Diceros bicornis minor: one gene and its partners. The protein of the gene in region 4 purifies or fractionates together with the protein of the main gene of each other region. This does not show direct contact. Links are inferred from orthologs where the notes say so. Each region holds a gene or a part of one and is shown on either strand. Other genes may lie near its edges.

What was found.
Region 1: the proteins of CAMKV (region 4) and CWC22 purify together in Homo sapiens (affinity purification with mass spectrometry; 3 studies listed by BioGRID and IntAct, counting the BioPlex papers as one, with this or other methods). This does not show direct contact. The link is inferred for Diceros bicornis minor from reciprocal best matches to the Homo sapiens genes CAMKV and CWC22.
Region 2: the proteins of CAMKV (region 4) and TCOF1 purify together in Homo sapiens (affinity purification with mass spectrometry; 3 studies listed by BioGRID and IntAct, counting the BioPlex papers as one, with this or other methods). This does not show direct contact. The link is inferred for Diceros bicornis minor from reciprocal best matches to the Homo sapiens genes CAMKV and TCOF1.
Region 3: the proteins of CAMKV (region 4) and GPC4 purify together in Homo sapiens (affinity purification with mass spectrometry; 3 studies listed by BioGRID and IntAct, counting the BioPlex papers as one, with this or other methods). This does not show direct contact. The link is inferred for Diceros bicornis minor from reciprocal best matches to the Homo sapiens genes CAMKV and GPC4.

The regions. Positions count from the first base shown.
Region 1 is NC_080749.1:60,247,446-60,254,344, forward strand, and holds the start of CWC22 (pre-mRNA-splicing factor CWC22 homolog), read right to left. Parts: upstream 3,007-6,899; 5' UTR 2,891-3,006; intron 2,742-2,890; exon of another isoform or gene 2,141-2,741; intron 1-2,140. UniProt on the Homo sapiens protein: Required for pre-mRNA splicing as component of the spliceosome. As a component of the minor spliceosome, involved in the splicing of U12-type introns in pre-mRNAs. Promotes exon-junction complex (EJC) assembly.
Region 2 is NC_080740.1:67,357,544-67,365,516, forward strand, and holds the start of TCOF1 (treacle protein), read left to right. Parts: upstream 1-4,962; 5' UTR 4,963-4,994; coding exon 4,995-5,102; intron 5,103-7,533; coding exon 7,534-7,589; intron 7,590-7,973.
Region 3 is NC_080781.1:121,554,012-121,561,970, reverse strand, and holds the start of GPC4 (glypican-4), read left to right. Parts: upstream 1-4,957; 5' UTR 4,958-5,471; coding exon 5,472-5,631; intron 5,632-7,959. UniProt on the Homo sapiens protein: Cell surface proteoglycan that bears heparan sulfate. May be involved in the development of kidney tubules and of the central nervous system.
Region 4 is NC_080741.1:50,982,785-50,989,671, reverse strand, and holds the start of CAMKV (caM kinase-like vesicle-associated protein), read left to right. Parts: upstream 1-3,877; 5' UTR 3,878-4,014; intron 4,015-6,887. Other genes in the region: uncharacterized protein LOC131411027, read left to right, coding at 1-445. UniProt on the Homo sapiens protein: Does not appear to have detectable kinase activity.

The DNA of each region.
Region 1 (6,899 bases), on a different chromosome or scaffold from region 4:
CTGGACACACAGCACTACATTCCACTACAGAGGCTCCTGTCACCAGGTCTAGAATAAAGCTGACCTTAACTATCAGGGAAGGACTCACAGGATAACTTTTCATGTGGAAGTGCTGAACTCTGTCTAGCCTGATCCATTTATGAATTAGGCTTAAAGTCAAGTTAAAAATGAATCTCCACTGGGTCTCTCCCTCCCACTAGCTAACCTATTCTATAATCACAGGAACCCTTATGTCCCCAGGCCAAGGCAGCCCATACCACCTTGTTGGTATGTGTTCACTGGGAAAGATTTATTACCTTGACTATAATAGCAAAGGCCTGCTTTAATCTATTGCTTCCTCTCCTGATACACTATTTTTTAAAAAAATGCTTTGAAAGTGTGCACTTTGTTGTAGGCATTGAAATGTCTCTTCCAATGTCCACTTGGGAAATGTATATACTGAGATAAGATATTTAGGCTACAGGTTTAGCAAGTCTGGAAGTATGCTGAAACTAACACTCCAGAGAAACTAATATGCTTTGTTCCACCGCCCTCCCATGCTAGGAGTCTCACACTTAAACAGAAAAGTAGAGAAATGCAACAAAGAAGCCCTGCAAGTCATCAGTAGGATCAGCTATATTACCAAAAACCACTTCATTCTTAAACTAGCTCTAGGCCAGCGATGACTTATACCAAGTTAAGGAATACACCAGGTACTACAAAATTTAGTCTAAATACAAGTGGGCAATAAACAGAAAATGTTCAAGTTAAGGCATGGGCATTACAAATACCCAATGTTATCACTGTGTACTCTCGTAGGTGGTCTCAGGTACAACCAGCCACTGCAGATCACTTGGCAACGTACAATCATCAGGGAGGAGAGTTAACCTCTAACAATTCAGCAGCTGGGAAAACTGATCGAGCTAAAAAGGCTGGTTTAGGAAACACAGTTAAGTAGTTTAGGAAATGTCAGAATTCCAGAAGTGATTGGAGGTAAACTATCCAAAGCAGGGAAGGATGTGGTGGCATAGTAACAAGGAAATACTGGCTGGCCAAAGATCAAACATTGTGGAGCAAGGAAAACAGCAAACCTGATCCTGGGGGTGGGAGTGAACCACAGTAGATCAGAAGGGGATGGGCTAGAACAGTGGCTCTCAAACTAACTGGCATGAGAATCACGTGGATGGTTTGGTAAAAAAGAAACTCATAGGCACCCCATTCCCCAGTTTCTGATTCAACAAGCCTGGGGTGGAGCCCAATAATTTACATTGCTAACAAGTTCCATGGAGACATTGGTGCTGCTGATTCAGGAGACTAGATTTGCAGAACCACTGGACCAGGGTATCGGATCAACGTTCTCAGCCTCTGAAGTCTCAGGGCCCCAGCCAACTGAGGTGGGAAAGGCTCCATGAAGGCGGCATGGGCACTTAAAAGTGGAAGGGCAACATTCAGAACCAAAGAACAAGAACTGAGACTCAGAGAGAATTCATCAACTCTTTCGCAGTAGTAACAATAATATAATAGCTAACGCTGTATGCCAGGCACCGTGCACAGTGCCTCATATGTATTTTTCTTCATCCTCAAAACAACCCAGGTAGGTACGTAAGTATTACTATTATCCACATTTTTCAGATGAGGAAGCTGAGACTACGGATGTTAGGTAACCTGCCCCAAATGACAGACTTATTTAGTGCTGAACCAAGACTGGCATCTTCGCCTTAGTGGTCCATCACTCAGCACCAACAAAAGCAGGTCTCCTTCTCCCACAGATGCTGCCTTGAGCAACGTTCTTGCGATCAAAACCACACTTTTAATGCCAATTATAAATTCGCTTTTCCATGGTAGGATGACAATTGGGGTTTACTCCCGAGTTCACAGGCAATCCTAAAACAAAACAAATTTAAATATAGAAAAGGGAAAGGCAGATTAACTTCCCTTCTGAAGCCCAAGTCTTCTTGTTTATCTATTTCTAGCCTGTAGACACCGAAAAAGGCAAAGGGAACTCTTATCGCACTTTCAATCACCTAATTCCGGCTTCTGGAACAGCTTTTCTGCAATTTTTTCCTTCTCTATTTACCTCAAAGATTTGTTGTGAGAATTAAGTGAAAATTGGTAAAGCAGTTTTCGCAGTTAGACCCAGTGAAATTAACTATTATATTACCGTTATATGCAAGTGTACTGTAGGATCCGGAGCTCAATAGAGCGGTGGAGACTGAAGACCCAAGTTTGTAAGTTACCATCGTATTGGAGGCAGATCAATTTACGGAAGGACAAAGGATGACAGAGGAAGAGCACACATAATGCGGAACGAAGAGTCCTCAGGACTAACCACTAGGAAGCATCATTATTTACAGGACAAATGAATGAAAAAGAAAAGACTAATGAAATTTTAAAGAAGCAGTCACAAGGATATTATGTCGGAAAGAGGCGCAAGAGCGGAACTTGCACTATTTTTTAATCAACTACAGTTCATTAATCCCATTCCCATGACCTGGGGCCGGGCACTAAGAAAGGGGCCTTAAGAAGCCCAAGTGGAGGCTCTAAGCGATCCGCGCCCGAAACACACCGCACACGAACGCAGAAAGAACCGGTGCTGGATTCAAGCAACAACGACACTGTGTCGAAACAGCCCCAGGACCCTCACTAGGAAGCTATCTGTCCGCGCAGGCGGGAAGAGAGTTCAGCGTCGCCTCCCCACCGCTCGGACTCCTCCGCCCGACCGGCTCTCACTCCAACCCCGCGGGCCGGCGCGCGGCGGCACGAGAGCCCCGCGCACCGCGGCGCCGCCCAGGGCCATATCAGCGAGCCCGTACCCACTCCTTGGCCCCTTTCACTTCCCACCCGGCCCGGCAACCCGCCACCCCCACTCTGGTTCGCTGCCTGCCGCGAGTCTACGGAGTTCGGTAATTACCTGGAGGGCCGCCGCACCGCCATTACACCGGAAGCACGTCACTTCCCCTTTCCGGGCCCGGCAGTAGGAGGAAGGCGGAACGTGAAATACATAAAAACCTGACGCTAAATTGGCTTTGATACGTTATCTTATTAATTTATTTTTAAATACCATATCGTAATACCAGATTCATAGCAGTCGATCCATCCACACTTTCTCCTTTCCAAGACGGCGACGAAAGATAAGTCGATACGAACTACAAAGTCCAGCATGCACCGACTGTGAGGACGGAGAAGACGTAAGCAGTTGTAGTTGTAGGCTGAGAACGCCGCAATGTACCTCGGGAATTGTAGTTCTTCTGGACAAGCGGCGGAGCGTGTATCCAGGCGGCTCGCCGGAAACCTGGTAGTGATTAGCGTTTAGCGCAATTTACTTTATCTAAAACTACTTCTCTATAGTTTGCAAGAAAGTAGACCTTAGTAGTCACTTTTCCTTGAAAATTTTAGGAAGAACAGACACCTTTTTCGGACATTTTACAATAGTTAGACCAAGAATCTATATAAGCAAAAATGTTACCGAAGGTGAAGTGCCTACTAATTTCGGAGATTTCAAGCACAAGTGCATGAATGGGAGAATATTGGAGTGAAGTAATGACGAGACGCTAATTCTGTAGAGAAGATGATGCCTGTTTTAGGTTAAGATCCAGCTGGCGAGACATCATGAGGATAACGAGATTGCCTGACTGGCTTGGAAATAGCAGTCTGTACTGAGATCAGAGTTAATCAATGAAAGTGTTTTCTTAAGCTTTAGTTTTCAATAGTAACAAAACCTAAAATTTATACTACTTGTTACTGTTTTGGGAACTATTTTCTCCTAAAACAACTGTATCTTTATGTTCCCCAACCTTGTATACACCAGGCCTGGTTTCTCCAAACACTTCTCTATTACAATTTTAGGGTGCTGGTGCTACCAACCTTTTCCTAGTGACAGAAGAGTGTAATGATTACAGATAAAGACACTGGAGCTGGACTACTTTTTAACTTGGGAATCTATGACGTACTCATGGACGATTGACCTCTGGCAGGTTACTTCACACTGTGTGCTCATTTCTTGATCTGTTCTATAGGAATAGACACTGCATAGATTTCGGTTGTACCAATACAGGGCACAGGAGGTGAATCTGGTAAACATTTGTATCCATATCTGAAAAATGCACAATACCACCTCTACAATTATCAATAGAAATAAAATTAAGTTAGAGGACCTAGAGGAGCTGGATGTTGCTGGAAAAGATGAGGTTTGCCATTTGGGACCTCCAGAAAGCAAACAGTGAGCTAGAGCTAAGACAGTAAAAAGGTGAAAGGAAAAGGGAGGAAACTGGATGGGCTAGGAGTAGCTCTAGAGCAAAGATGAAGAGTCTCATACTGAGATAAAATAGCTAGGCCCTTGTAACATGGCCTTGCTCAGTCATTAGCTAGAACCTTCCCAATAAGAGTGTGGCCTTGACTCAAAAGCTGAAGTGGACTTGAAGGTGTTAACAGTTGAAGGTTGTCACCTAACCACACTCCTCACAGCTGGGCAAACAGCCTGTTGATGAAGAGGTATCTGAGCAGCACATCTGTGTGTTTGTCACAGTGGACCCCTTGTACCATGTAGATCCACTGTCTGTACTCATTCAGGGTTCCGGTGGCCTCTCTTCTTGAAGAGAAACTTAGAAGAGAGAAGTTAGTGGGACAAACTACAGTCCCCATCTTTGCAGTTGGTCCTGAACCACAACTGCATTCATTGCCTGTCTCTACTATTCATTCTGAATTCCCCTCACTCTCAGCTACCACCTCTGCTGGTCTTCATAATTAAACTGGTGGTGTGAAAACCTTAATTCCTGAGAAATTTGAGCCCCTAGTAATAATCTCCTTTTCAGGCAGGTGTTGCTGCACTTGTCCGTTTACAGTCACTGTTGAGTAAGGGAGAGGTGCCCAAGTGGATCATTCAAGTACCACATATATTCTTATTTGCTATCATTTTGTAACATCAAGCCTACCTTCTGATGATTAGAGTTAGCTTATCCTGCCAAGATGTTGACTCCTCTTCTTGTCTGCTCGTCCCTGAACTCAAGAAGTCCTGAATGCCCAGGCAGCAGATAAAGTTAGCTCAGTAGGACCCTTGCTGTGTCCCCTAGCAAGAATATACCATTTCAGGAGACTAGGCTCTCTAATTCCACAAAGCTCAGAGTTGCAGGAATGGGAAATGCTATGTGCCCCAATAGGTTATTGGGAATGATGGTAAATGATGCTATTCCTGTTTTACCCCATTTTTTCCCGGACCCATGTGTTGTTCCTATTGGGGACCCTGAGCTGTATCAAGGTCTACTGCATCCTGGGGAACAGCACCTCATCCTAGCGGAGTATTGTGTCATAGCAAGTGCTTGAACTTCACCCTCAGCAGGCCATTCCAGTGCTCTCTTAGGCCACCGGCCTCTGGGACATGCAGCATGTGGTGCAACCAGTGGAACTCATGGTCATGGGCGCCCTCCTGCACCACCTTTGCTGTGAAGTGATTTCCCTGATTGGATGTTATACCGTGTTGTATTCCGTGCCTGTGGATCAGGCATTGTGTAAGTCCCCAGATAGTGGTGCTGGATGGAGACTGGTGGGTATAAAATGCAAATACATACCCAAAATAAGTAATCTATTCCCATTGATGGAACTGTTGCCCCTTCCAGGGTAGAAAGGTCCCAATGTAGTCAACTTGCCACCAAATAGCAACTTGATCTCCTAAAGGAATGATGACATATTGGGAGCTCAACATTGGTCTCTCTTGCTGTCAGGTTGAATTTTCAGATGAGGCAGTAGGTAGGCCAGCTGTGGTAAGTGGGCTCCATGCTGATGGACCCATGCACAGACTCCATTTTTGTTAGCATGGCTGCTTTTTTCATTTGTCCATTGTGCCAGCACTGGGGTGGCCACTAACAAAGACAGGCTAACGTCACCTAGCTGAGTAATTTGGTCTACGTAGTTGTTTAGTGCTTCTTTCATAATGTATACTTTCTGGTGGACACTGATGTGTGATAAAAAGATCTTCACACTTTTTGCCCACACTGATATGTGCATCTGCATTCCTCTAACCCTCTAAGACCTCCTTGTCTGCAATCTCTTTCTTTTCAGACACCTGACTAGCCAGCCAGGCTATTGCCATTGCCTGTTAGCTGGTTTATATTCTAAAGTTAGGCCACTTTTCCTTCCACACAAAGTGGATGACCACAGTTTTGGGCACCGCCCAAAACTCTGCCCATTAGAAAGCTTGTCCCTCTCCTCTGTCTTCATGGCTGTTCCTGAGTGAGGCTTTGACGTAGCTGCTGTCCAGTTTCAGCTTTCATCCACGTTCTTAGCCAACCCATCTGTAAACTAAGCTTGGCCGTTTTTTCTTCCTTCAGCTTGTTGTTTGAGACCCCACCCCTTACTATGGCCATCAGTGTGAGCTGAGAGAGGGGTATTGATGAAACTGTGATGGGTGACATCAAGGTCTGCACTATCTGCTCATGTAGATTATTTGTACCCTCTGGTCTTCTTTGTGCTTCATCCCAAATCTAATATTTTCATTTTATGATGAATTGTGACTGGGCCCCCTCCGAAGTTATGACATGGTAGATTCAACGAGACACATTTCATTTTGTATCACTTAGTGTCCCCATGGTCAAGCATTCTCTCCTTACCAGGAGGATGCCAAGAGCTGTTTTTCAAAAGTTGTGCAACCTTGATCCAGCACCCCAGGAGCCTGAGCTGTAATTCTCCTTCTAAGACTTCTATAAACTCCATACTGCATCTTCTTCCAAAACTGACACCTCTAACACCATAGGATCTGCTGGATCCATTAGCCCAAGTGTCAAGCAAGGCTGCTTGCGCCACACTCAGACCTGCTGCAGAGCCCTTTGTTGTGCCAGGTGGCAAAGCTGGCAGCTTTTTATGTCACCTGGTATATGGGCCAGAAATATATTCCTAGGTGTGGAGTATATTGCTTACAGAACCCAAGG
Region 2 (7,973 bases), on a different chromosome or scaffold from region 4:
ATGCTACCTCCCACCTCTGTGCAGGAGCCACTTCTGCTGGGAAAAGAAGGTTTTAGCACCCCACCTGCTTAGCTTCCTTCTCTTCTGATGACGGGCCTTCCTTCACTCATTTCCCGAATGCCCTCATTGTGCCCTGCTTGAGAATTCCAGATGACTAAGGCATGCTGCTTACCCGAGAGGGGCTCAGAGGTTGAGTGGTCTGGAAGCTTCTGATTTCTACCACTAACAAATGCATCTTTTTTTAACTGGTAGAAAAACGCTCTGAGGCTAATTTTTTTTAATGCGCTGTTTTGTTTGCTGCTGTCTTAATTGTTGCCATGTTATATTTTATCGGTTTAATGTTTTAATTTTGTGCTTGGGCCCCGAGGCAATTCAGTGAAGGGTATGATTTGGAAAAGCAAGGATATAAAGAAATTGTCCACAGAAGAGGCAGCCTCCCAGGAGCCGAGGACAAAGCATAAGTGCCTAAAATGAATTTTATTAGGAACAAAACAAAAATAAACAACGTGTTGCCAGACAGAAGATATCAGACCATCCTGGTTTTGTTTTTTAATTTAATACCAGTTCTCCATTTCTTCCAAGGTCAGCAAAGGACTCACAACACGGTTCCTTCTCCATTGCCTTCTAGAAGCCTTCCTCATTTCTGCTTCCAACCCTATACTCACGGTGTGCGCCCTGCCTGCCCTGCCCTCCTCTCTTCTTCAGGAAGCAGGCTATAACCACCCTTGCACTTGCCAACGTTTATTGACTGCAGTTGGGGATAACGCAGCCAACAAGACAACCAGGAGTCTGCCTTCAGGGAGTTTACATTATAAGGAACGCATTCTCAACCGGGGCAATAACGCCCCCACGGAGGGTAAAAATTGGTTCTCGGAGGGGTGAAAAAAAATTGACCATCTTACAATGATTTGTATGCTCGTCACCCTGTTCGCTTTCTCAGTGAGTGGCCCATCCAGCCACCCAATCAGCAACCTGGGAGCTCATGGCAGCCTCGTGGCGGCCCAGTACGCAAAGGCTTCCACTCTCTCCCTGAAAATTGACGCCATCTGTCTTCATTCCCCACCTACCCAGCCTAGATCCGAGGGTCCAGAGATTAGGCACCATTTTTGCCAACAGTTCAGACACTGTTCCTTTTTTTTCCACCCATCTGGCAAAGCCCTAGGTCTGGGTAAACCCTCTAAGTACTTTCCCCCTGCCTGCACCTGAGGAGGTGAGCTGTGAAGGGGGAAATCACACAGCTGGCAGGACAGGACACATAAATTAATGGTCACCAACCTCAACTGGGTTGTCAACACTATCAGGCAATCGGGGAGTTTGTGGGCCAGTTTGCTCCTCCACTCTCCGAATGCTCATTCTCCTCCTTCCTTCAAACTCCTCACCACCTCTTCCTCGCTCTCAGCAGAAGACCTTGCCTCCCACTTTGCAGAAAAAATAGAAGCTCAAGATGAAATCTCCCTTAACATCCCACTACAAACCTACATCTACATCTGCACCCATCCTCTCTTTGTTCCTACTTTTGGTTCTAGAGAAGTCATCCCTCCTCCTCTCCAAGACCAGCCCCTCCACCTACACGCCTGATCCCATCCCCTTGCACATGCTCGTGCACATCACTTGATGATTATCTCCCCTATTTCCTAAACCCTTAATTAATCTCTCTCCCCTTCAGGCTTGATCTGCCATCAGCCTGTAAACAAACTCAGGTCTCTCCACCTTATAGCACACTTCCCCCCAACACACACTTAGACCCTGTCACGGCATCTCGCTCCTCCCCTTCACACAAAAACTTCTCAAAAGATCCACTGCCTCCCTCATCCTTCCTTCTCTCATCAGACCACTGCCATCTGACCTTCTCCGTCACTCCACAGAAGTAGCATTCCCTACAGCCACTGACAATCCCCATGCCTGTCAGTAAACCAAGGCCCATGGTTCTATCCTCATCCCATCCGACTCTCAGAGCAGTCTGCATGGACACTTCCCACTTTCCCAAAACTCATCCCTTGGCTTCCTGCCCTCCGCCCACTCCCTGGGTTTTCTCCTACCTCTCTTGTCCATTCCTTCTCAGCCTGTGCAGGCACATCCTCCTTTCTGCAGCCCTAACCTGTGGGTGTGCCTCAGAGCTCCAGCCTGGGCCACTTTCTCTTCTCTCCATGTTCTTCTCCTCACTTATCATCTCTCTACTGACAACTTCCCATTTTCATGTGAGTCCAAACCCAGGCTTCCAAGTGCCTACTCAGCATCTGCACTCGGTGTCTCAAAGACATTTCAAGCTCAGCGTGTCTAAAGTGGAACTTGCACTTTTCATGTCCCCTCCACACCCTCCCCTTGTTGCTCAGCCCCCATCCCAGTCCTCTCCTGTTTTCCCCATCTCAGTGAAAGTCACTGCCTGCCTGTTTGCACAGACAGCTCAGAGTCCATCCTAACACTCCCTCCTTACCCTCCATTCCAGCACATCTCTATGACAATTTGACTTCCTGATAACTTTGAAACCTTTCACAGTTCTCAGCTCCACTGCCACCAGTGCCACCCCCATTCTATTCTCCCTGGATGCCTGCCTGCACTCCTAACCCTGTCTTCCTGCATCTACTCATACACTAGTATTCCACTCTCCACTGGGCATTCACACAGGTCACATTAAAATTCAAATATCATTCTCTTCCTCTTGGGCCCACACTGTCAGTGGCTTCCTTCACTTTTAGGATGAAGAGAAAGATCCTTAATGTGGAATCTGGCTCTGCCCACCTTCTACACTCCCCAGTCCCCCTGCTTTCACTCTAGGCCCTGCTACAAGGGCCTTTTCTCACCTCTTCTCTCAGCTATACCTTCTGCCTCAGGCCCTTTGCACAGGTTCTTTCCTCTGCCCAGGATTCTCCCCACCACCATCCTCCCCTACACATAGTTCAGATTTCCTCACAAATATCACTTCCTCAGGGAACCCTTCCCTAACCCCCAAGAAAAGATAGCTCCCTCCTTCCTGTTAATGCTTTCCCAATAATGGCTCACACACATACAAGCACAGCACTGTTGTTGGGAATTCACCTGCGCATTTCTCCTTAGAACTCATTTACTCCTCATGACAACTCTATGAGGTAGAAATTATAATTATCTCTATTTTACAGATGAAGAAACTGAGGCACAGAGAAGTTATGTAACTTACTCAAGGTCACCTAGTTAATAAGAGGCAAAGCCAGAATTTGAACCCAGGCAGTGTGACTTCAGCAGAGCTTTTAAACACTCTACTGTTCCATAAGAAAACACTATCCTTTTCCTTCTGCACTTGCTCACTGTTTGTAACAATGTATTGGTATGACTATTCGTTTAGCACGTTTCTCCCCCATTAGACTGTAAGCTCTTATTGGGGTAGAGACTGTTTCATCCCCAATAGTAGGCCCTCAATAAATATTTGCTAAATGGCTGAATGTAGATTAGTCTTCTCCCTCTTTCTTACTCACTGCATTCAATCAGTCACCTCATCCTGTCCTGTTTCTTCCTGGAGCTGCAGTTCCTAACCCTAGGAGGTTCAGGTACGTGCTTATCTCTGTCCTGAAATTGGATGGAAAATGTTATGTATCCATACACATTCAAAATTTTCTACAGTAAAGGCTAGGTGGTTCATGCTGTCTTCAGATTCTCAACAGGGCCATGAAGTTAAGAAGAGCTGATTCAGGGCCGGCCCCGTGGCTTAGTGGTTAAGTGCACTCACTCTGCTGCTGGTGGCCCGGGTTCGGATCCCACACCGACGCACCGCTTCTCCAGCCATGCTGAGGCCGCGTCCCACATACAGCAACTAGAAGGATGTGCAACTATGACATACAACTATCTACTGGGGCTTTGGGGGAAAAATAAATAAATAAAATTATAAAAAAAAAAAAAGAACAGCTGATTCAAATATTCTCCAGCCTCTCTCATCCTCTCCCTGCCAACCTCGCCTCAACAACTACGATAGCCTCACAGCTAGTATTGTTCTCCACAAATCCATCCTCCATGCTTTGGTCATAGTAATCTTTTAAAAACATAAACCCAGGTCACCCTCCTGCATTAAACCAGTCAGAGACTATCTATTGCCCTTGGAGCAAAAGTGCAAAAACTCTGCTGGGGGAGGGGATGCTGTAGGCCCTGTCTACTTCTCCATCCTCCTGTGTCCTCACTGGTTCCCTCTTCCCCCCAACTCTATAGCCCAGCAGCACAGACTGGGTTCTATGTTTGGGTTTCTGGCCTATGCCCCGTGGCTTCTCCTGTCTACCCTCAGGAGGTGCCCTCTGCCTGGGGTGCCAGTCCTCTTCTCTGCACCTAGAAATTCCTATTCCATCTTTAAGCCTCCACTGAAACGTCTCTTGGGGGTTAGGTGCCCCTCCTCCCTGCTCACATAGGCTGTGCCTATCCCCGAGAAAGCACAGAAAGCACCGACTATCTCTGTTGTCCCCGTGAGCTTTGAGGGCAGCCGCCATGGCTTATTCATCTTTTTATCCCCCTATCCTAACTGAGCGCTAGCCCAAGGTACGGTGCTCAATAATGATTTGTTCAGTGAATGAATGAATGATGACAAATAGTGCCTGAAAAAAGTGTGAAATGAATAAATGAGTGGGTAATTGGAAGTTTGGGTCTGGAGAGAGATGCAGATGAGGATGTTCAGACATGAGTAAAACCCGATCGCAGCCATCAGAGAGCTAACAAGCAAGACTAACCTCTTCAAGGAACAAGTCTGAAGGATTTCAGAGGGAGTTACCCAAATCACGGCCGGCCCAGGGGTGGGTCCAGGTCTAACCACGCCCTCTCCCCGCCAATGGGAAATCTCATTGCCCTCCGAGTCTCCGCCCCTTTCACCCGCCGGGGAGGGGCCGATCACGCTACAGGAGACTACATTTCCCGGCGTGCCGCGCGGCTCCGGCGAACGAGGAGCCGGAAGTGGGGCGCGCGAGGTCTAAGGGCACGCGGGAAGTGGCGGGCGGGGATTGAGGGGGGCGTGCAGGTGAGACGACTGGCCTGGGGTCGCTGGCATGGCCGAGGCCAGGAAGCGGCGGGAGCTGCTTCCCCTGATCTACCAGCATCTGCTGCAGGCGGGCTACGTGCGCGCGGCGCGGGAAGTGAAGGAGCAGAGCGGCCAGGTAAGCGGCGCGCGCCGTGTGCGAGGGCCGCGTGCAGGGTCTGGAGAGCGGCGGCCCGCACCCCCTGTCCTGGCTGCCTGGCGGGCCCCCGGAACTGGATCCCGCGGTGCTCGGGGACGCGGCCAGGGGTGCCGAAGGAGCCGCAGCTTCTGCTCCCTCCTGCGGCTCCCAGTCCCTCTGGGCCTCAGTTTCCCATCTGTGCAGTGGGCGGGCCGGGACCTGTGATCGGATGCGCAGGGTTTTGTAATTCCCGCGCCCCGTACCTCCACCCCTTTCCTGGTGGCGGCAGTTTAAAGTTTCCTAAATCTCGGGCCACGTGGCTCCGCGTGACCCCCTCGGGCGAGAAGGTTGCTGCGAGTCTGAGGGATGGATAGCGACCAGCCCCTGGGGGCGAAGGAGAGCGCCGGGAGAAGGGGCCTGTGTCCCCTCAGTTGAGCTGGAGCTCAGGCCCTTAGCAGTCCTTCGGTGTTGAGTCGGACAGCATTGGGATTCGAACTCGTGGTGCAGTCATTTCTTACTCCATTGATTCTTACAGCAACTGTTCACCTGGTGCTCAGAGCACACGGTCCCCCAGCCCTCCTAGAACTAACAAAATCTAAGTCTAGTAAAGGAGATAGACATAAATCAAAGAATCCCCAAAATAACTGTACACTTAACACTACATTAAGTGCCAAGAAAGAGAGGCATAGGGTGCTAAGACAGAGGTGGCAGATTGCCCTTGTCAGCGATAGCCAGGGCTGCTTTCCTGAGGGAGTGGATGTTGATTTGAGATCTTAGAGAGGGGAGGTAGGTATTCCAGGCAGAGGTGCAAATGCCCTGCGGTGGGAGAAAACTTGTGTAGGTACTGGCCTCAGTAGAGCTTGTTGTGGCTTAAGTGTGAGGTACAAGGGTGATAGAGGTCCCTGGGAAGATAGTGGGGGAGCTGGCTGGAGCCTTACTGTAGGCAATTTGGGCTTCATCTAAAGAGCAGTGGTAAGCCACTGAAAGGTTTTAAGCTGGTATGGTGGACACTGGCCTGATTAGTCAATATGGTGTAGGCTCTGGTCCTGATGCTTGCTCTCAGGACCTCCCAGGGAGACTAAAGGGTGATGAGCCCTAAGACGTTATCTATGCTTTTCCCAGCCCTCTCTGGACCTCAGTTGCCCTTCTTACTCCAGTTATATCCCTTAACAGCTAAGAGGGGCAGGAGACAGCGCCCATTCGTTGGAACATTTGCCTAGGCAAAAGTAGCCTGCCCTTATGGAGCATACATTCTAGCAGGCGCAGACAGATGACAAATAGGAAAAAGAAGCGAATGATATAGTGTGTCGGGTGATGGTGGGTGTTAGCTATAAAAATAAGGCAGGCAAGGGGGATAAGGAATATTAGGGTTCAGTTATAAATAGGATGGTCAGGAAGCCCCACCAAGAAGGTGGCATTTGGGCAGAGACCTGAAGGAACGGAGGGAGTGAGCTGTGTAGTTAGCAGGAGAGAACATTCCAGACAGAAAGAATAGCAAGCCCTGATGGGGGCCGGGTGGCCTGAGACGTTTGAGGGACAGTGAGGAGGCCAGTGGGCCTGGGTCGCAGTAGAGTGAAACTGACGCTCGCAGTCTCTGTGTTATTGGCTCATGTGCTGGGGGCGCTGACCAGGTTGTCTCATTCAGGCCTGATAGCAACCTGCTAGGTGGGTACTGCCGTTGTCCCCATGTTATAAAGAAGGAACCTGAAGTTTGAAGAGGTGAAGAGATTAGTCCAGCCAGTTAACAGAGGAGCTCTGCCTGACACCAGGTGCACCCTCCTGGCCACTCTGTACCCCCTGACACTGCCCTTGCCCCACATTGTTCACTCAGCCTCCTTGGGGCACTTAACACCCAGGTTCTTGACATTTGCACCGAGAGTGGGCCCTCTGGCATCGGCTCCAAAGGCCTAGATTCCAGCTGGTTCCCTCTGCTTCTACCAAGGGACTGGCATCATTTGGTTCCAGTCTTTTCCCAGTGGATGAGTGGACTGCAGTCATGCCACCCGGATGCCTCTGGTGTCTGGGCTGTGGTTTGTACTGCCCTGGGGAGATTGACCAGCCTGGCCTTTAAAAGCCTTTTGAAAGGTCAGAGGTAGAAAAAGCCCTGTCTCGTGGCCTCTAAGCATAGAGAGTGGCAGGGAGGCTGGGGGCTGGAAAAATGCTAGCCTGGAAGATTCCAGCTCTAGTCGGTCAAAGGTACCTCTCACCAACATGTTGTCTTAAAAGGTTTTAGCTGGAAATACTTGTCCCGCTTGTCTCTGGAAGGTTTGAGTGGTACAGGCAGGGCCAAGCAGACATGTTTCCCAAAGCAAAAAGACCCCTTTCTCAACCGCTTGTCTGTGCAGGTAAGGAGGTCGTGGAGAGTTGGGCCCAAGGAGGACCCTTACTGTGCTGGAGCGTTAATTGCTGTTTTCTCTTTCCTTGTTTGCAGAAAAGTTTCCTGACTCAGCCTGTAACCCTTCTGGACATCTACACACACTGGCAACAGTAAGTCTGTTGGGGCTGAAGGAGTGGAGTAGGGACACGCCGAGCTCTCGGCTTGGAATAAGCTGGGATACTAATCTGTCCCTATAGCCCACTGTGGACGCCATTATCACCCCCGGGAAGCCAGGTCACATGGATGTGAGTCGGAGAGGATATTGAGAGCTGCAATCAATGTCTTTGAAGGACAGAAGCTTTCAGCAGCTTGTTATTCATTTAGTCAGCAAACATTTATTGAGTACCTACTGAATGCCAGGCCCTGTTCTAAGTATGGAGATGTTGTCGTGAGTGAGACAGACATGGTTCCTTCTGTCCTGGAGCTCACATTGGAGTCGGGGAGGGAGGCATGCCTCAAACAATGAAACAAACAAATGTAAAATTACAGTGGTA
Region 3 (7,959 bases), on a different chromosome or scaffold from region 4:
GGAAAATAACACATACTTCACAGATAATACATGTGGAAGCAATTCCTAAACTCTGCGGTACTAAACAAATATCAGTTATTACTGTGAGATTGTCTTCCCATGGAAGATTTTTTAACCAAGGAGTGTGACACTTGCAAATGATGCTATAGGAAGATTGATTTTGTGACAGTCCCTGCATGAATGGATGGAGAGAGAAGTTGGAGGCCAGAAGACCTGTTAGGAGGTTGGCTCTACAGTCCAGACAAGAGGTAATGCAACCTAGACAAGGACTGATGGTCACAGAGTGGAAAGGAGGACTCAATCTGTCCAGGTGATTAATGAAGAGAGAGGGAGTATGGCAGCTATGGCCCTGGGAGAACAGTGGACAACAATGGCACAAAAAGGAAGTATGGTGGCTGGTGCCTGGAGCTGGTGGTTAAAGCTGTGGACACACACGAGCTCTCTGAAGGAAAAGGAAAGATAAGGCAAACTTAAGGCATTAGAGAAAGAATACTATGGAATTAGGAGACAGGAACAGACTACCCACATCAACTCCTTCGAAGTGGCTAATCCTTCAATTACTGGTACTTCTGTAACAATTTCCAGAAGGACAAAGAGAAGACTGGCAACTATGAAACAAAGAGCAAACTGGAATGACTGTCCTGGGGGACACGCATTGCCTTGTGTTATCTTTGCCAGTATCTTTCTCCACGTCCATATGGATCCTACCTCCCCAAGCAGGTTGTCAGATCCTCAAAGGGCTCTGGTCATTCAAGTTTCTAGGGCCTTCACAGAACCAAACTTTGTACACAGCAAGTGGTTAGAAGACACTGCTTGCTTGGTTGCTTATAAAGGAGAGGCATGGGGTGAGAGAGGAAAGTTACTGGGTGAAATCTAGGCTGAAGACAAGCTGAGTTTGTTCAGTAAACTTTTAAGAATGCTGAAGTAGTCACTAATATTTAAAAATCAGGAAATTTCAGATACTAATCTAGGTCTTTTATTCCCCTGGGAAACTGCCCATTGAGTGAACGTGTACTCTTGCTGGCACTAGGTATGCAAATAAAAATAAGGCTAAAAGAGCTCTTGGGGGCTAGGGTGCAGGAATCCTCAGAGTAAGCATGACCTCTGCTGTGGGGCAAGTGTGGTAGCCATTTTGTGCAGACACTGCTTTGGAGACCTAGAAGCAGGAGCCATTAGCTTTGCTTGGTGGAATCCAGGAAGGTTTCCCAGAAGAGGTGATATCTCAGCTGAGTCTTGAAGGATGAGTATGAAGTTGTCCAAGGAATGGAGGGGAATGAAAAGGTATTCCTAGCAGGGGCAGGGTAAGGGTGCAAGGAAGTCCATGGCATGATGGAGAATGATGACGTGTTCTTATGGGGCCAGACAGAAGATACATGGTTGGGAAAGGCCTGTAAGAAAGCTGGTAATGTAGACTATATCCTGATAGCAAAGATCCAGATCTGTTGAACGAGTCGGGAACTGATCTGGAAAGCAATGGGGTGCCACGGGAGAGGGAGGCAGGGTTAAACAGGGGAGGGACATTGTTCAGGTGATGTCAAAGGCTCACTCTGGTGGCTTATGGGAGGCATGGATTGGGTGTAGGGAGAGACAAGAGGGCTGCAGGCCAACCACCTCTCCTAAGGGAGGAAGTCACGTTCTACTCCTCATCGCCATATTTGGCAACCAAAGTAGTTCCCCAGCAGGCCAAGAGTAGTGCCTCTAAAGCTGAGAGAGTGCACCTGATTTAACTAGGTCTTGGCTTGGAGGACAGCAGCAGTGAGTGCATACTTTGTTCCCTCTGCCCACCAGCGAATGTACCCCAGTGCTGCATCAGGAGAAAGGCCTCACCTGGGAAAACCAAGTATACCGCAAATGCATTCTATCCAAGCAAGCCTTTGCATACAGGTCTTACCCACTACCTTAAACTGTAAACTCCTTTTGGCTTGTGCATCGTCCTTCCCTCTAGGGCTGAGCAGCATCCGACACATAGTAAGTGCTCAATGAACATTTATTAATCTGAAGCAGGGACACTTCTACAAGATCTGGGCAGTTGCACATTCACTGCTGACCCCAAGTGAGACCCAGAATATTGTGTTTTCTAACAAAAAATTACATGAGATTTAGTCAGAGGTCTTAAATTTATCAATCTTGGTTCAGCCACTCAAGAGCTCTGTGTCTGTGGACAAGCCACATAACTTCACTGAGACTCAGTTTGCTTATGTATTTTTAAAAAACACTAAAATTTTCTAGGAGTATGAGAGAGTACCTGGAAGCACTTTGCAAACTGTAAAGTACTCAATGACCAAAAGTTGTATATCCATACAATGGAATACTATTCAGCCATAGAAAGGAAGTACTGATACATGCTACCACATGGACAGATCTTAAAAGCATGATGCTAAGTGAAAGAAGCCGGACAGAAAAGGCCATACATGGAATGATTCCATTTATATGAAATGTCCAGAACAGGCAAATCTATAGAGACGGAAAGCAGATTAGTGGTTTCCAGAGGCAGAGGAGAGAAGGGAATGGACTTTGATTGCTTAATGGGTATGGGGTTTCCTTTTGGGATGATGAAAATATTCTGAAACTAGATAGTGGTGATGGTTGTACACCATTGTGAATGTACTTAATGCCAGAGAATTGTACACTTTAAAATGGTAAATTTTATGTTTGTGTATTTTACCACAATAAAAAAAAGCCAAAAATAAAGTGCTATATGCGAGTTGATCATCGTGAGGAGTTGTCGATTCTTGCATTCTATGTGCAGCCCCCGATCCACTTTTTGGCGTTCAGATAATTTACAGAATAGGTGCATCTCCACTAAGGAGCCTCTTTGGAAGAGAAGAGCTGGAGTAGGGTTGGGAGGTGGGAAGGAGGAGCTGCAGGCCATCTGAAAAGGGAAGCTGGATGGTATTTGTTTCGTAGATTGCCAGTTGTTCACCCTGTTTGTATTTAAATGAAAGGAGGCTTTGAAGTGGGAGCCGCCTCTGAGCAGGGCTTGGGGTGCCTGCCTGGTGTGGTAAAGTTCAGACTTGTCCAGATCCGTTTCTAGCCAGAGGTTACTGTTTCTTGTGGAAAAGCCTCAAGTTTTGGTTAATAATACATGAACAGGAAGAGCCGGAGTAAATTGGGGGGCAAGGAATGAGTTTCCCCCCGGACGTGGTGTGAAAAGAAGCTTTCTGATTTGGGCCTCACGTTTTGGGAGTATCTTTTTCTTGCTATGGTCACTGGATTTCATTTTATTATTAATGCTGGTTGCATCTCAGATCATATTCTCTTTGGTAAAGAACATCTTTAAGTAAATGCATCAATCAATGAAAGTTAAAGGTGCTGGACTAAGCCCTAGCAATGCTTTGAGGACATGATGATTATCAGTTTCGAGAATACCTGGACTATTTAAAAGTCCCTCAAAAATGGCAGAAAATTCATTTGTTGTTGAATTTGCATATTTAGAAAAACTCCTCTCCTAGTTAGAGTTAAATGTTCTGCCAACCCACAGAAGTTCCACGTCCCACTTATAGATGGGTCGCAATTTGTCTGTTTATCCTGATGATCTCCAAGAGTTAATAAAATGTAGAAGAGTCTGCAGTGGGCATTCAAAACAACAGCTACGCTAGTTTCTATGGCTCCTCAGTAAAGGACGTCTCAACAAACCCTATGAGGGCGATAATTGTAGTGATGGTTCATATCTTCACCCTATGTAATTTTATGGGAATTGAGAGTCTTGCCAAATAATAAGTTCCAGCCCCTTTTATCTGCCCAGTTCCCAGCACACTCCCGAGGTGTCTGAGGCACTTCTCACCCTAACCTCTTAAAGCAGATTGTAACAATAACAACGGTAATGACAAGTTTCCAATCTGCACAGTTCCCTTCATTAAAGGAGCCCGGGGAGCTTCAAAAACACTCATTAATGGAATCTGACAAAGCTTGGAAGGTGGGAAGACTCGCCCATTTCCAGTTTTCTGGTGGCTAAGTAGAGTCTGGGTCCCAGGGAGGTGTCTCTCTCAAGAGGCTTGAGGGTGGAGGGGAATTGAGGGTCCTGGGCTACCATTATTCCATGTGATGGGGGAGTAAAGTTCCGGGTTCTGGACCGACCCCCCCTAGCTGCGTGCTATTAGCAAGTCACTTCCCTTCTCTGGGCCTCAGTTTCCCTACATGCAGGAGGGTTTGGGCCAGAAGGTCTCCAAGGGCAACCCTGACTTGGTCCCATCGCCTCGTGGTTGAGGGGTTTCTCCTGCTTCAGGGTTTGGTTAGAATGGAAGCTGAACCAGGCGGGGGAGGGGGTGTTGGAGGGGGAAAGCGGGGGAGGAGAAAGCCTGCTAGGGATCCGAATAAGTCGGCGCTCCATGAGCACCGTTTGCTGGGAAGCAGGTCTGAGGAGGCCAGGTGAGGCCCTAGAGGGCCAGCTGGGAATCCCAAGTCCCCATGGTGCCTGCAGCGAAACAATGCGAGTAATGCCAGCGCCTTCCCCTCCGAGCCCAGGAGCTGGCGGTTAGGAGCGTCCTCCGGGCTGCGGGACGGCAGTGGGGGAGCAGGTACTGAGGCGGGAGGGCTCTGCCCGGCTTAGGCCGGCGGGCAGCGGGTCAGGTGGCCGCGCGCAGAAGGCCTATAACTCGGACGTGGGCTTCAGGACAAGTTCCAAGGCGCTCGGTCCCCCAAGACTTGGGCCCTTCGCCCCAGAGAAGTTAGCCTTTCCTCCCCCGATGGGGGGCGGCGGGCAGGCTCCCCGCCTCCCCGGAGGAGGGGAGAAGGGAGGAGCCCAGCGGGGCGTGTCGCGCGAGGGAGCGCCCGCGCGCCCGGTGCGGCCCCCTAGGAAGTGGATTTGGCCGCTCCGGATCCAACCCCGCTTCCAGGTTTTCTCCCGTCCCGGCTCTGCGTGCTCCCGCCTGTCTCCTGCCCCCCCGCCGCCTCCCCCTGAGTGCCGCCCGCTGGGCCAAGTTTGTCGAGCGTCGCCGCGCACGCCGGCCAGTCAATCAGCCGCAGAGCTGAGGAGGGTACAGCCGCGCGGCCGAGGGCAGAGTGAGCGGAGTCTAGTCGAGCCGGGGGAGCGGAGCAGCGCCGGGCAGCCCCAGCAGCGCGCAGCGAGCGCCCGCCGCCGCCCACACCCTCCGCGGCCCCCGCGGCGCCTGCCACCTTCCCCTCCTTCCTCGCGCCCCTGTCCCGCCGGCCGGCCAGCTTGCCTCGTTCGCTGCCCCCGTGGAGCCCCGAGGTCACCGGCCCGGCCTCCGCTCCCTGGGGCCGCGCACCGCCTCCACGCCCTCCTCCTCGTCCTCTCCCGGCCGGGCGCCTGGCACCGGGGACCGTTGGCTGACGCTCGAGGCCCAGCTCCACTTTTCGCCCCGCGTCTCATCCTGCTGCTCTCCTCCTCCAACTCCAGCTCCCTCGCCCTCTCGCTCCACTCTCGAGCCCTCGACTCCGCGCCCCTCGGCCCACGCCCGCAACTTTCCGTCCGTCGCAAAGGTGGGAGCGCGTCCGCCCCGGCCCGCACCATGGCACGGTTCGGCTTGCCCGCGCTTCTCTGCACCCTGGCCGCGCTCAGCGCCGCGCTGCTGGCTGCCGAGCTCAAGTCGAAAAGTTGTTCGGAAGTGCGACGTCTCTACGTGTCCAAAGGTTTCGACAAGAACGATGCCCCTACGCACGAGATCAACGGTAGGTGGGAGCCCCCGGGAGGCGAGCGCAGAGACTGGCACCCCGGAGAAGGGGCCGCGGAACCCCTCTCGCCCCGCCGCCCCCCGCGCCGCACGCAGGTACCCAAGAGAGAAATGGGCAGGCGAGCGAGACAGGGAGCGCGAGAGTGAGCCCCCGCGCAGAACGTTCCCCGCGGACGCGGCGGCCCCTGGCGCGCTGCGAGTTGCCCGGTGCCACTCCCGCGCTCTGCTACCACCGCCCCCCTTCCCCCCCGCGGTCTGCCCGGTCCCAGGAAGCCCCAGAGGACTCTGGCCCGCAAAGTGCGTGTCACTGGCTCCCTCGCCTTTTCCGGGTTGAACTCCTTACTGGGCTCCCCGCTTTGTTGCGTGGGTGACGAGAGGCCGGGTGGGGGTGGGGGGTTGCCAGTGGGGTGGGGGAACCTTCTAGAGCTTGCCAGATTCCGGGGGACGCAAAACGTGGAACATGAATTGATGTTTCATTGATGTTCTTTAAAAACCCTCTCTCTGCCTCTCTTCCAACCGCTGACACGGATTAGGAATTTTAGTAGCTACAGCGGCTTTAGAAGTCGCCTTTAAAAAGCAAAACGACTCTCCACTCCTCCAAACCCTGACTTTTGGGAACTCTCCTGCTTTCCGGAAGGTGTTGGATGAGAAGGGTATTTTTTCCCCCCTTTTTTCTCACCTCATTTTAAGGGTTAATTGCACGTTCAATTACAAACCTTTGAAAGGACTGATTACAGGAAACCTGAATCTCGGTTTGGAGATGGTTATGCAAATGCAGACGGCTTAACCTGTGAAAGAGTTCACCGGATTTTGGTGCTGGCGGGTGCGTGGGGTATTTGTGAGAGCCCTTATTGCATCGTTGGGGAGGCAGCTTTCCGGCAGGCGCTCTTCGCTCCTCCCCTCGAGGCCGGCGGCGGTGGCCGGGCCGGTCCCCTCCAGGTCGCACTCTCCCGTTCGCAGAGGCCAACTGTTGCGCGCAGCCCCGCGGGCCGTGCTGGGGCCAGCGGCAGCGCAGGTAGCCCGTTCGCCCCGAGGGTTCAAAAAGAACCACGGATGGAGCTGGCTGGTGGCCAGCAAAACCTAACAGTGAAGTGAGCGATTCGAGCCCCGGGGGCCAAGCCTCCATTCCGAACCTTTCATGGAAGTGAGCGGAGCGCGCCTTTGCCTCGCGGTGTTGGTCACACGGGTGGGGCGGGCGGGGGGCCGGCAGCCAGCAAAGGAAATACTGTAATTTCAACCAGGCGCTTCCAAAGGCTTAGGAAGACTTGGGGGTCATTTTTTGGAAGGGCTATTAATAACCTTGGAGATTAAGTGCAGTCATTACATGTAAATTACAAAAGTAAATTGAGGGAAGTTGCTGGGCACTTTCTGACTGTAACCGGCATCTGTCTAGAAATAGAGCCGAAGAAATTGTTGGAGCAGCCTAGCAGCCCACTGCACCTTGGCAGTTACCAAATAACTCGCACACTACTGATTAGAGACTGTTTGCCCTTGAGCTGCCTGTCTTTTTGGGAGCTCAAGTATGTCCTCACAGCAGTACGATTTTATTGGTTGTAGAGCCCTGAAAAGCCCTCTTTCTTTCCCTCTCCCTCCTGCCCCGCCAGAAGAAGTGAAGTGAACCAGCAACCACTGAAGCTTGGGGGCTCCGCGGGTCAGACCTGCGGTCTTTGTGCCCTGCACGGTTTGGGCCTGGGCCCAGGGGAGATGATTGGCGTGAAGGTTACAGTTGTCATTCCCACATTTTGAAGGGATAGCTGCAGCGATGCCCTTAATGGGGATGTGACAAGTTTTCATCTTCTGCTCATGCAAACAATATGTGCCTTTGAGATGAACTAGAGGCATTCAGGGAGTAGGTTGTGAAATTGCCCTCCCCACTTTCTCCAACTTTACTGTGGCCAGGCTCACAATGGCGGGACATCTTCCCCAGCCAGCATCTCAGGAGAAAGGAAGTTTGAAGAGTGCTCAAGGACTGTGCTAGGTGTTCCCTTGGATTGCCATGGTTCCCAGAAAACACCTGAGGAATATTTTTGCATAAATGTCTATCTGGACATTTCCCCCCCAAAGATAGGAGAGTTATTAGTGACCAGCAGCAGGAAATGGAAGCTAATGTGCTCACACCCAAAACATTTTATTCTTTTTGTCTTGTCCTTCATCTCCCTCCCAGGGCTGCTGCTTTTATTTCCCCTTTTGAATGACCTACTGGACTGCATTCTCCTGAGGAACAAAGGAAGTGCCTTTTTAGCTGGAATCCTTGGAGGACCACCAAGGACTTTAGCTCATGCAGTGCAATTTCGCACCACTTTCAACAATAACAAAAATGCATGAC
Region 4 (6,887 bases):
CATGGATATGACAGCTGAGATGGCCCGCACTCAGGCCCAGGCCCGGGTGGAATTCGTGCTTCCAGACAAGCAGGTCATCTCGCTGGGCTCTGAGCGCTTCTGCTGCCCTGAGGCCCTCTTCCAGCCGGATCTGCTAGGCCTCAACCAGCAGGGCCTCCCACAACTAGCCCTCCAAAGCATCAGCCGGCTGGAGGCCAAGCAGCAGGAGCAGCTGCTGGCCAATGTGGTGCTGGACGGTGGCAGCACCCTGGTAAGTGGCTTTCCTGAGCGCCTGAGACAGGAGCTGGGCCCCTGTGCCACTGTGCTGGGCTCTCCCCACCGTGCTGTTGCCGCTTGGCTGGGAGGCTCCATCATGGCGTCCCGGGACTCCTTCCAGAGCCTGTGGCTCAGCCGCCGTGAGTACGAGGAGGAGGGCCCATGGGCCATCTACAAATACCATCTGTGAACACATAAAAGTTCTGGTTCTGCTTACTTTGAACACTGTGGCATGTTTTAGGCATAGGGTAGTGCGGGGAAGGGCAGAGGTCCAGGTATGGGGTCAGGGATGGGGACCTTGGCACTCCCAAGGCAAACCCTGCCTCTGCACACTACAACTCCATGGGCCCTGGCAATCCTATCCTTTCCAGAGAGCCCCAAGCCCCTTGGCTGGCATTGGCTCTGGTCTAGCCTGACCTTTACTGCAACTCAAGGGCGAACACAGAGAGTGGCTGCTGTGGGTTTTGCCCCGTTGCCCTGGTGACAAGTGCAATTACCCTTGATTGCCAGCTGGTTGCCATGGCAATTTCAAACATAATGTAATAACCCACATAGCCTGGAGTGAGTCATGAAGGGGGAACAGCCCCCTCCTCTAGCTCCAGAGGAGAAGATTGCTTGCCCTCCTCCATCTTGGTCCCTCTACAGGGGGCTAAGGCCAGCAACATGGACAACAGCCAAAAAATTCCAAAGATGGCTGGGGGCCTGCAGCATTTGTTGCCCCCAAAGGAGGGTCCCTGTCAGTCTGGACTTCTTGGGGGAGCTGGCCTAGTAATGCAGGTACCTCCTAAAGTCAACTTTGGCTGGAGCTCTCTGCTGGGTTGGCAGGGGCTTCCGTTGGCCAGTCAGAATAGGAAGGTATGAGAGTGCTGGCCTTTGGTGCCCTGGGGCAGGAAGTTGGGGTAGGGGGGCAAATAAGTCCTAGATCCTGGATGGGAGGTACAACTTGAGCTGGGGGATGATGCCCTGGCCTGCTTTGTAGGCTCTGTGGATACAGAAGCTCACAACTTATCCTGCCTCTCTGACTGTCTAGTTCTGGAGAGAGTCAGAACTGTCAACTTTGGGCTCCCTTCTCTTCCTCAGCCTCTCAAGTCAGGCAGCCCCTGCCCACAGGGTGGCCAGGGTACAGCCCTCCTCAGAAGATCCTCATGGAGGCTACCAGGCAATGTCAATGCCAACTGCCCCTGTCTTGTTCCAAACTCTTCCATGCGCTAAAGGGCCTCCTGCTCTCCCTCTGGCCAGGAAGGTGGCTAGAAGCCATGGCCTCTGACCTTGTTTGGCTCTGAATAGTGGGGGTAGAAATTAAGCTCCGTGTCAGCCCAGTCCATGGTGTGGAAGAGCTAAGAGGATGGCATTCAGCTGGTGTTGCTACTTTCTGCCCAGTGGGCAGCTGGAGACTGAAGCCAAGACAGTAAAGCCCTACCCTGCCTGTGCCTCTCTGGTTGGGGGCTGAAGGACAAGCCATAACCCCGTCCCAACCCTGGGTCCTCGTCTTTAGGTTACCCTCTCCACAAAGGGCAAAGACCTGCCCACCCCCACACATGCCTGAAAGTGAGGGGCTCCCCTAGGTGGACAGACTAAAACAGCCAACGATGTAGGGTCATCACAGCCCCTTTCCAGCCCTGGGCATGGTTCAATCTCTTCCCATGTCCTGCTCTCACACTGCAATTCAGCCTCCATAATCCTGAGGCCTGTGTCAGGCGAGAAGGAGACCGGTGGCTCCAGGGACCAATGGCTCCAGGGACTAGCTACAGTGTCTATGCGCATGTGTGAGCGAGCATGCTTGGGTACACACAGAATGCAGACACACATGCCCCTGGGCACCACAATACACACTGTGCTGTTGTCATCTCCTTCAGCATAACAGCGCACACACACATAGACACATTCACACGTGTGAACACACAACTCTGCCACGTGCTCTCACCCACAGGCACACGGAGTGTGCACAGGACCAAGAAGAGGTAGAGCATTGCCAGCAGCAGGCAGGGCTCTAGTGAGCCGCCTCTTCCCTTGCCTCTAAATCCCCCATTTCAGCTTCTCCTTGGCCCAGCTGCTCCACGCCTGGATAGCCATGACCTTTAGGAAAGACAGAAAACGTGTGTGACATGTGTGGGGTCAGCAAGCCATGGCTCAGCTGGACCATACAACTCAGAGAACCATTGTTTCAAGGACAGTGGACAGACAGCAGAAACGACTGAGTGCCAGACCATTCATTCATTCTGCAGACATGAACTGAGCATACTGAGATGAGACACAGGCTCTGCCCTGCAGATGCCCAGCTTACCAGGAGATTCCTACCCAGTGGTAGAGTTGGTGCCATGACTGAGACCACCCAGAGTCCAGGGAACCTAGAGTTGGCACCAGTCTGGACTGGAAGAGGTGATTCAAAGCCAGGGGAGGATGTAAATGGCTCCTTGACACCCCCTCTGGAGGAAGATATTGAGGGGCCTTGTTTGAGCAGTCATTTCCCAGGATAGCCTTCCAGCCCCAGCGCCAACTTCCTCACTTGGGCAGTCAGTTCTGTCAGTAACCATGGGGAGCCACGCAGGGGAGACTCACTCAATGTGGCCAAGGGTTTGGAGATGACTCTACACAGGATGGGGTCAGAAGGCTCACTGGGAGGGTTTGGTGGGGCGGAGTCCAGCTCCTCGCACCAAGAAGCTTAAGTCTGGCCTTCAGATACTGGCCTTAGGGCTTGTGACAAGGGCAGAGCAAGCATTGAGCCCATATGCCTCCCTGACAGGGGACAGAGCAATGGCCAAGGACTTCCTTCAGAGCTTCTTCCTGGCAGTTCTCAGCCCCCTCCAGTGAGGGACCAGGTCTGGTAGGCCACCTTGGTGCTGCAGTTCTCCTGTATCCCCATATCCCAGGCCAGGCCACCGATGGTGATGCTGCTCTTGAAGTGTTTGAAGGTGATTAAACCGGGAAGAAAGCAGAGTCCACACCATGTCATAGGTGACTTTTACAGTTTGGGAAATTCAGTGCCACACAGGAGGAGGTAGACTCTGCTAGCTGCCTGGCTGGCACCTAGGGATGGGAAAGGCTTTGGCCTGCAGGAGTGGAGGGTGGAGTGGGTTTTGAAGACTCTGCCACCATGGTCTGGGGCCCTCACTGACCACTTGCACATGCACACACACAACCACGTGTTTACTTACTCCTAGCTAAGGGATGCCAGTCTAGTGCCGCTTGCCCTAGTGACTGCCCACGTGGTTCTTTTAAGTAGCTTCTGCCCTTTGGGTCAGGTTTTGGGAGCTGGGCAGAGAGCTGGTCCCGCGGGGACTACTACTTGCCAAGAGACTGCTCTTTAGCTCCAGGACTCAGGCTTTCCCCACACCTCCTACTCCCCACCCCCTACAATGGCCATAGGAAGGCCCCTCCGGCCCCTGTTGCCCGGTCAGTCTGAGGGCGTAAGGGAGCCTTTGAGTGCCTGGCCGGGCCGATCAGGCCAGTGCTCACCGACACACCTTCCACCTCTCCTCCGCCCACCTTCGAGCGGGATTCCAGCCCCAGGCTCCACCAGGGGCGGGGCGGGGCCGGCTGAGGGAGGCCCCGCCCCCAGCCCGCCCCCGGCCCGGGGTGCGAATCCGGTGCCGATGAGCGGCGGGAGATGCTGGAGGTTCGCGAGCCGAAGCGGCTGCAGCTGGCGCCGCGTCTGCCCCGCGTGCCCGGAGTGGATTCTGCCCGCCGCCCCCGGAGCCCTCGGCGCCCCACTGAACCCGCGATCGATCGCTTCCTCCCTGTTACCGACCGGCGCTGCAGGTGCGGGGCGGGCCGGGCCGGGGGCGGGTGCCCCTTGAAGGCACGTTTTGGGGGTCTTGGGGGGATTGGGTCTCTGGCTCAAGGTTCGGGTCGCCGAGTGCCGCGAGGGCTCGGGGTCTCGGCGGGGGCCGAGCACGCGTGCTATGTAGATCCGGGGGTCGGCGGGCGGGGTTGGGCTAAAGTTCCTCGTCACCCCGGACCACTCGGTGGTCCCAGAGAAAGCCTCTGAGACTCAAGTCCAGGCGAATCTCCCCTCCCTGCCCGCCCCCCCCCCTCGCTTTCTCGCTGGGCTCCTAATTGTGAAAATATTAACCCTCGAACATTCGTGGTACCCCATGGGGGTAGGGGCTGAGAGCTGAGCCGTCCCTCCTGACTCCCAGAGCCGCCTCCAGCCCCTCCCAACTGCCCCCGGGCCCCCTCCCTCCCTCTTGGCAGTCACTAATTTCCATGACAACGGAGAGTTCTTTATGGGCGACAACCTGAAGGGGGCTGGGCGGGGCTGCCGCGGGGTGGGGGAGGAGGCTCCAAGCCCCTGGGGACCAGCGGCCCCCTAGCCAAGATCCAGCTTCCAAGCCGTAATGTGGGGGCCAGCTGGGGGTCCAGGGCACCGACCCAACGCTGCGCGATGTGGGTGGGGGACCCACATGTTTCTGCTGGGAGGTGCGGGGCTTGGTGCTCACACGTGTGCCTCCCGCATGTGTGTTGCTGTGCCAGCGGGGGCGAGTCAGCAGCACTGGAGAAGGGGGTCAGGGTGGCACCACGGTGGGGAGCAAAGCCCTTGGCTGGGGGTGGTGGACAATGAACAGAGTTTCTGCCCTCCCCAGCCTGCAGTGTCTACCAGAGACCCTGGGTTCTCCGAGCCCCCCATAGCTCCGCCAAACTGCTTTTGTCTGCACCCCTTAGGCAAAGCATACTCCACCAGATTCCCTCCTAGGGAGCAGGGCTCTCTGTCCCTCACCAAGAGCTCAGTCTGCAGCAGTCCCGCCTGGCACCCTCCTCCAAAGCCTAGGCTTTGAGCTCCGTAGGACCACCTGTGGAGAGCCCCCCACTCCCACCCCCAGTTGATTCCTGTCAGCTTTAGCCACTTGCTGGGCCCCAGTTTTCTCAACTGGGAAATGAGTGTCTCCACTCCTCTCAGTGTCAGCCTGGGCCCTGGGGTGGAGCAGAGGTCTCTCACCCTTTCTTTTACAGCATTTGGTGTGGACTCCCCAGGTGCCATAGGCTGCCGTTCCCCTATCTGCTGCTGGCCCTCCTCTCCAGCCTGTGCCCTGGCCACCACTGTCTAGCAGTCCTTGCCCTGGCCGGGAGAAGGCTACAGAGTCCATGATCTCTGTCCAGGGAAACTGAGGCATGGGGGCCAGGTGCTGTGCAGTTGTTATCCTGTTTCTGGGTTGCTTGGGTGCTGTTTCTGGTCCTCCTAACAGGGTCCATTGTTGGGGAGGAGAATGGCAGTGGCAGGGAATGAGGCTGAGCTGCAAGAAGGGCCCTGGGGACCCAAGGCCTAGAGAGGACAGCAGATGGGGGGGTGGGGGGTGTGCACGTGCCTGGGGAGTCTAGGTAGGGCTGGGCCAGCTGAGAGGAGGGGCTGTAAAGGGAAGCGAGGTCTCCAAACTTCATTTCCACAGCACCCCCCCCTCCGCCCCGTGCTTATGCCTGCGACATGTTGGACCTGCATTACCTAAGCTGCCGTGATGACAGGGAGAGGGGCTGAGGAACTGTTCTGGCTGAGGGGACTGCAACAGCGGCCTCTTCCCCAAGGCTACGGCTGTGCCTCTCACACCAAGTCCAGTGCATGTCTGGGGGATACAGGAGGGTTCAGTCTCAGAGGTCCAGGCACCAGGGACAGCTCCTGGCCCAGGTGTTCAGAACACATGGCCATGGAGAGCTTAGGGCTCTGCTGCACACCCTTAGGCCCCTTCAGAACCCCCTGCCCTTCTCCTTCTGTGTCTTTATGCCTGTGTCCCTTTTACTCTGTTGCCTCTTTGCTCCTCTTTCATCGCAGCTTCTGCCTTTGTCTTCCTGTGTCCCTGGCCCTCTCTCTCTTTTCTAAAATCTCTGGGTTTCCCCACCTCTCCTTTCTTGATGGGGACCAGGGTCACAGAACCCATGGGGAAGGAGCCGGGCCAAAGTCTCAGGGAATTCTTGGAGAAGGGATTTGGTCAATGCCTGCCGCCTGCCCCCCCCCCCCCCCCCCCCCCCCGCTGCCCCGTCCCCCTGCCGTTTTAAAAACTTCCATCACCATAGCAACTCTTTACTCTGGGGCCTTCCCCTGCATTTCCTCTCCTACACCCACAGGGAATCAGGGCCCCCAGTGGATTTTCCTTCAGGGGTTCAAAGATTGGGACCCCAGGTGCCTGGAAGTGGCCAGTTGGCTCTTGGCTCTGCCTGAATGCTGAGGCCTGAATGCTGAACTTGCTGGAGGTAGCACTCTACTGTGTGCCCACCCCCAAGACTGGAGAGGCCCTCCTCTTCATGCTCCCTCATTAGATAGGAGAGAGTCCCCGCAGCAGGAACGATGGACTGTGATGTAACCAGAGCCTGAGGCCCAGCCAGGGTAACCCCCTGCCCAGTTCCCTGAAGCAGTTGGATGGTGGGCTAGAAGCTTGGTTCTGCTTCCTGACACTAGACCCTGAGAGTGAGGTCTCTATTTCTCCCAGTCCTGTAGGTGAGGCCTCAGCTATGGGCCAGGCAGGGCTTGGGCCTATGTATGTCTGTTGCAGTGGGAAACCCAGCCCCATTCTCGGAGAGAAGAGAGGATGGAAGGGGAGGGGGTGCCTGCAGCCTGGTGTTCATAGCTGCCACTAAATCGGGAGGTGTTGCCCACAGTTGTTGGGAGATAGCTGGAGGCCTCCTGGGCCCCTCGTGACCTCCCT